Linked DNA regions of Daphnia pulex. The protein of the gene in region 1 purifies or fractionates together with the protein of each later gene. This does not show direct contact. Links are inferred from orthologs where the notes say so. Each region holds a gene or a part of one and is shown on either strand. Other genes may lie near its edges.

What was found. Proteins that work in one complex are often made in the same cells at the same time.
Region 2: the proteins of protein transport protein Sec31A-like (region 1) and N-terminal kinase-like protein purify together in Homo sapiens (affinity purification with mass spectrometry; 3 studies listed by BioGRID and IntAct, counting the BioPlex papers as one, with this or other methods). This does not show direct contact. The link is inferred for Daphnia pulex from reciprocal best matches to the Homo sapiens genes SEC31A and SCYL1.

Annotation. Positions count from the first base shown.
Region 1 is NC_060028.1:9,226,921-9,229,597, reverse strand, and holds the end of protein transport protein Sec31A-like, read left to right. Parts: coding exon 1-62; intron 63-135; coding exon 136-1,482; intron 1,483-1,550; coding exon 1,551-1,622; intron 1,623-1,684; coding exon 1,685-1,873; 3' UTR 1,874-2,061; downstream 2,062-2,677. UniProt on the Homo sapiens protein: Component of the coat protein complex II (COPII) which promotes the formation of transport vesicles from the endoplasmic reticulum (ER).
Region 2 is NC_060028.1:3,728,444-3,732,566, forward strand, and holds the start of N-terminal kinase-like protein, read left to right. Parts: upstream 1-1,222; 5' UTR 1,223-1,362; coding exon 1,363-1,476; intron 1,477-1,542; coding exon 1,543-1,686; intron 1,687-1,746; coding exon 1,747-1,881; intron 1,882-1,947; coding exon 1,948-2,032; intron 2,033-2,099; coding exon 2,100-2,238; intron 2,239-2,301; coding exon 2,302-2,392; intron 2,393-2,460; coding exon 2,461-2,696; intron 2,697-2,768; coding exon 2,769-2,847; intron 2,848-2,918; coding exon 2,919-3,140; intron 3,141-3,218; coding exon 3,219-3,311; intron 3,312-3,382; coding exon 3,383-3,518; intron 3,519-3,584; coding exon 3,585-3,776; intron 3,777-3,862; coding exon 3,863-4,123. Other genes in the region: dynein axonemal assembly factor 1-like, read right to left, coding at 934-1,025, 1,088-1,146. UniProt on the Homo sapiens protein: Regulates COPI-mediated retrograde protein traffic at the interface between the Golgi apparatus and the endoplasmic reticulum. Involved in the maintenance of the Golgi apparatus morphology.

The DNA of each region.
Region 1 (2,677 bases):
CCGGACTCTTGGCTGGCCAAGGCAGTCTGGAAGCAGCACTGACTTATCTCGATATGTCGCAGGTAAAAATAAAATTCTCTTGAACGCATTCACGATCTAGACGTTAATGTTTTTGTTTTGTCTTGTTTCATGTAGGACGATTCGATGGTAGAATTAAAGGACAGACTTCAACGCGCATTGAATCCGGTCGACCGTAAGGTTTCTACCGGAATGATGAACGGTGCTTACAGCATGGCATCGCAACAGCAAAAGGCTGGGCCGCTGCAGCGATACCCATCGGTTGGAATTAATAGGTCTTCTACACCAACAAACAGCTATTACGGTCATCAGGATCAATTTAATTCAGCTCCAGCTGTGCCAGCCTATCCCCCGAAACCTACAACTCCATTCCAGGGCAATAATTGGGCAACGTCCACTAATACTTACAACTCTCCTCAAGCAGCGACTTCGATGCCTCCAACGGCCAATACACCTGCACCACCTCCAAGTGGCCAGCCTGTACAACAATTTTACCAAGCTCCGAGTGCCCAGCCTTTGCAACAATTTCATCAGTCCCCGAGCATCCAGCCTTCGCAGCAATTTCATCAACCTCCAAGCGTCCAGCCTTCGCAGCAGTATCATCAGCCTGCTCCACCACCGCCTGCAGCAGCTACGGTGGCCCCTCCCCCGATAACAGGGAATGTTTCGCGCTTGGGATCACTGAATCAACGTAACAGAGTTTACGTCCAGGATCCTAGCGTTTCCAGTGGTCGATCTGGTGGATATTTCAACGCTGCGTCGAATTCACAATTCCAGCAAGTCAATCAGATGGGTTACATGTCCCAGCCACCACAATCGAATTCGGCGATGTTCCAACCTACTGGTCAGTTCAACACTCCGTCATCTTACGCGCAACAGGGCGGTTTTCCTGGAAATCAGTTTAACCAGCCTTTACCGCCCTCCCCTGGGTCGTTCAATATGCAAAGCGGGCAGATGTCTAACGGCGGAGTAATGGATAATGTCCAACAGCCTCCATCTCTTTACAATCCAATGGAACACGCTCAAGCGCCGCAGCAACAAAGCGCATTTATGCAACCAACATCATTTGATGCTCCACCATCTATAACTCCTCCGTTGGCTACCAATCTCGTGCCCTCCGTACCATTTCTTCCCACCGCGAGCGCGCCTCCTGGTTGGAACGATCCACCTCCTCTAACGTCGTTCGCTAAAGTGAAAGCTGAGCCAGCTGTCATTGAAACTATCAATCACCCCATGGGTGTTGTGGAACAGCCAGCCATTCCCATTATTCAGCCTTTCGAAGGGTCATTCAATCAAGGAGCAATGAATGCTCCAGTTGATATGATTCAAAACCAACACCACCAGCAGGCGCCTGAGCCAATCCAGCCAGCCCAAGCCTTGCTTCCGATTCCAAACGAACACTTAATCATTCACGATGTATTCCACACGTTGAAAGATAAATGTGCCGCACTAGCCTCCAATGCGGTGAGAAACTACTAGAATTATATTATCATGACGAGATCATTATTTTATAATTTTTTTTTTCTTTTTAGCAATTGAAGAGAAAGCTAGACGATGTAGGAAAGAAGCTAGAGTGCCTGGATGATCTGTTACGGAAAAATATGGTAATTCATCAACTATATTCAATATTTTTTGGTAAAGCTAATGTTCGTAAAATTTATTGTAGTTGCTGAGCCCCACCCTTTTGGGGTTACATCAGATTGTGCAAGCTGTTCAGGCGTACGATTACGCGACCAGTCTTAGTCTACACTCTAATGTGGTGATCAATACGCCCTTCACCGAAATCGGATCGTTCATATCTGGTTTAAAAGTGCTTCTCCAGATGGCTCAGCAACTGGGAGTCCAATACCAGTAGCAACATTGGGGGAAAAGAAAGATTTTTTTTCTATGAGATATGATATCTAAAGTCTGATTTGTGCTCGCATGTTAGGCAGAAAAGTTGGCTTCGTCGCTCCACACTTCGTTTCTCTTGATGTGTGTGTAGTTAATACCTTCCCCCTTTTCTTTAACCAGAGAATTCATTAAAATCTATGCTATTTACAATGATCGAAGTACTCTTTTGGGTGTGGCTTATATTTTTATTAATTTTTATAACATGAATATTTTGTTTAGGAGAAAGAAAATAATTTCACAATCCTAATGGACACTATGTTGATTCGAAACTTCACACTTCATGTTGAATTAGAACTTTTAAACTTAAATACTTACTGACTTCTCAAGTTGGCTCGGCAATCCTCAAGCTAGCAGGAAGGAGAGGCAAGCAAGCAAGTCTTCCAGGAATTTAAACTACCGTGTAAATATTTGTGATTTTTCCAGAATTAACGAAGCGGTGGTTCCCTATATGTTATTGTTGCGTCGATACAATCAATCATCTACGAGAGAAGGTAAGTAAAAACTAAATATGTTAATCAAATGTTCTAGTTTGCTAATACGGATGTGGAAAATTTGTATTATAAAACCATCGAGTGAGTTTTCTTTTCTGTAAACTTCTCAAGATTTCAAGGTAGGTTTTGGCAAATAAAAGTGCGCAGTGGATAATGGTTTGCCCTATATAATACTGAGATCTTGCGAGGGGTTGTAAATCAGTCGTTTTCATTTTTGTTAAAGTACTCTTTTTTTTGCAGTTGCTTTGGAACAGTGCTTCATTAACTTCATTTGT
Region 2 (4,123 bases), about 5.5 Mb from region 1:
GTCCGATTTTCGAGATTTATGGGATGGAAACAAAGTTGCCGTCCGATCAATTGTTTTTTAGTTGATCGCTGACCAACTTTTTCTGAGTTTGGTAGGTCACTCAAACCATAACCTGATAACCATGCTCAAACTCAAAATGAGTCGAGTTTCGCTTAATTTTTCGCGCTTAAATCATCGATCAACGTTTGCCTGGAATTTTTACCTTCCAGTGACATCTAGCGGTCAAACTTTGAAATCGATACACAATTGAAATAATAATTTGCCATTTTTCAATTAATAATATTTAAATTTTTTGTCTAGTTTTTTTTTCTTTTACTGTGTTTTACTGTTTAAACAAGAAAAATTCATAAATAATAATTTCATACAATTTTCGTAGTTTAAAATTTACCGCTTGACAGCGCCTGGAATCGATCGAATAAATTGAGCTTAAGCGAACTCAATTTTTTTTATCGTCGCTTATTTTAAGCTCAAACTCAGACAAAAGATTTGAGCGCCGATTAAAAGTTTGAGTTCGTGCTTAAGCGACGATCAACTCTTAAGTTCGATCGTCGTAAGATAAGTAAGAGTAAAAGTTTTTTTTTTACTATTTTTTCAATCTATTGAGTATTAAACGAACGGCATAAAGCGATACGGACGAGGAATCAAATTTAAGTTCCCTAATATATTCCAAACTGTCTGACTGTCTGTCTATAAGGAATGTGAAGCATTAGAATTGCCTTGCGATTCTGTACGGAATTGTCTCAGAATTCTCAGGTTTCTTTCAGGATTCCTTTTCAAAAAAGGTCTCCAGAAAAGGTTATTTTTGTGTTATCACTTGAAATCGCGGACTGCTTATTGGTAAAAAAAAACCTCAGATAACAAGGCAGTGAGTTATTCACAACATTTGTTTTGGGGCATGTAGTATTTTATAGTATTATAAGAGAAATTGTAAACCTTGATGTTGAAGGTATAAAACTTCGTTTAAGTGAGGAGTTTGGTATAAGCCGTGCTTTCTACAATGATTTCGAAGCCATTTTGCAGTAATTCTAGGATTGGAAAATTATGTTCCATTTAGTTTGGTATTCTATAATATTGTATTTTATCTTACCTTGGAAATATATTTTGTTCATCCTGCGAATCCGTGTAAACATTTCCAACTTTTTCCATGACGATTCTTACGGATTCTTAGGTCTTTCCGTCTCATGTATTTTCTCCCCTTATCGACCAAACTACTCTTCGTATACTTACCAGAAGGTGGCACGCCGCTCGCATTTATGACGTGTCGCTGTCACCAACGTTACGTTTTGAATTGATCACTGAAATAAAAAATTGAATTACTCTTTGCTACAGTACTATTTTTAAAGTAATTGCAATAGGATAACTATGTGGTCATTTTTCAGCCGAGATCCTTCCAAAGAGTTCGGTTATGAAATTCTGGAACAACTTACAGGAACAGAAGAATATATGCTATGGAAACTTCATAAAGGGAAGAAGAAGGTGAATTGACACTGCATAATTATCAAAGTTAAAGTTTGGTTATCTTCATGTTATGGAATTCCTCAGGGTTCTAGTGAGCCAGTATCTGTTTTCATCCTTGATGCTAAAACAAGTGGAAATGACACACAGATAGAACTTGCGAAAGCAGCTCTGAAAAGATTGAAAACACTCAGGCATCCAAACATTCTCACTTACATCGATAGTCTAGAGGTTATTCATTCATTCTTTTATAATAAAAAGATTGCTTACTTATTTTCATTTACTATTTAGACAGAAAAATGTTTGTATTTGGTAACTGAGTATGTTGAGCCCTTGCAGTTTTATTTGAACAGTTGTGCTACTGATTACCCTAAATCTAAACAACAAAAAGAATTATTTATAGCATGGGGACTTTTTCAAGTTGTGGTATGTTTTAAAGTGAAATTAAATAAGGAATGTAACCAAAGATTTTAAGTTCTTAACTATTTCCAGCGAGCCCTAACTTTCTTGAATAATGATGTGAATCTTCAACATAATTCTATCTGCCTTGGAAATATACTTGTAAACACCGCTGGAGGTAAATATCCAAGTTTTGCATGTTACATAATCTAGTTCCTGCATTCTAATTGTATTAACTATAACAGAATGGAAGCTTGGAGGTTTTGAAAATGCAACTCCATCATCTCAAATAAATTCTCTACCAATAAAAATACTACCTTCCTTTGAGAAATATGACCCACCTGAGAAAGTGGATTCATTGAAGCTTAAATTTGCTACCAAATGGTACTTGATTAGATTTTTTTTTTCTATCCTTTAAATATTTCCTTAAATTTTATGTTTGTGAAGGTCAGCCGACATGTGGGGTCTAGGATGCCTTATTTGGGAAGTGTTCAACGGTTCACTCAAATCCTCTTCCTCATTAAAAATTTTGGGCAATGTATGAAATTACATATTGTTGATTTAATTAATGAGTTAAATCATATTACTTTGATTATTTTTAATTAGATTCCAAAACTGTTAACATCAGTTTACTGTGAACTTGTAGGAGCAAATCCCAGTTCTCGCCCTAACCCCAGTGAAGTCCTTGTTATTTGTAGAAAGCCTGGAGGTTACTTCAATAATGATTTGGTTGAATGTCTCCTTTTTTTGGAAGAGATTCAAATTAAGGAAAGTAATGAGAAGACACAGTTTTTCAATAAGCTACCTTTACTGTTGGAAAGTTTTCCAGAGAACTTGGCAAGGTTAATTATACTTAATATATAAAAGACTGACAAAGTATTTTGAGTAACAGTTTTATGTTTACTATCAAACAGACACAAAGTTTTACCTCAACTTATTAATGCATTTGAATTTGGTAATGCTGGAGCAACTATTCTCACTCCTCTGTTTAAGGTGAGCAATATTAAATTAATGTGTTTATGCATACAGTACTTAAATACCTTCTCGTCATGTTTTTTCCCCAGTTAGGTAGCTTATTAACCGAAGAGGAATATCAAAAACGAATTGTTCCTTGTGTAGTCAAATTATTCTCGTCTCCTGACAGAGCAACTCGTGTCCGTTTGTTGCAGCAATTAGAACATTTTTCAGCTCATCTTCTTCCTGTCACTGTGAATGATAACATCTTTCCCCACATTTTGAGCGGATTTACAGACTCGAATCCAGTAATAAGAGAGCACACTGTTAAGGTATTTTATTATAAAATGATTGTTCAGTACTGTTGTATTTATTTTACTTTTATTAATATTGGAATTATCGCAATGCAGTCCATTATATCTTTAGCACCAAAACTGAATTATAATAATCTGAATGTGGAAGTTCTCAAGCACTTCGCGCGATTACAATCTAAAGATGAACAGGTAAATTTCTTCGCAAACAAATGAGGCTACGTGTGTTGAAAATTATTTTTTTTTTTTTTTTTTGCATTTAGGGCGGGATCCGTACCAATACTACAGTGTGCCTTGGAAAAGTCGCCTCTTATTTCCATCCTCAGATAAGGCAGAAAGTTCTGGTATCAGCTTTTACCAGGGCACTGAGGGATCCGTTTCCTCCTGCCCGAGTTGGAGGTAAAATATTCCATTCATTAGAAATAGATTTAGTAAACATAAAATTTTAAATAAAAATTTTTTCAGGCATATTAGCATTTGCAGCCACCCAACAATATTATCTGCTGAACCAAATCTCTAATCAAATTTTACCTGCCCTTTGTGTACTGACGGGTGATCCTGAAAGAGAAGTGCGCGATCAGGCCTTTAAAGTCGTTAAAGGTTTCCTATCAAAATTGGAAAAAGTATCGGAAGATCCTTCTCTTCGAGAATGCATGGGTACTATTAATTATTTATTTATTTTCAATTGCTATAACGGTGATTTTTAATTTTTATTATCTTGTTTAATGTTTTCCTGTAAACAGAGGCTGATGTAAATGCAAACGCTAGCCCAAATGTAACAGATATGGCATCAACATGGGCTGGTTGGGCAGTTAGTGCAGTCACATCAAAGTTCTACAAGTCTCAAAGCAGCCAAATATCTGATCAGTCTCCTGCTCTGCCAGCCAGCACTCAAGGACCAGCTGCTACAAGCAACCCAATAAGTTGTGATACAATTCCTGAAACATCGCATGAATTACGGAGGACTTCTTATACCGAATCCACCGACGAATCCGTGCAATGGG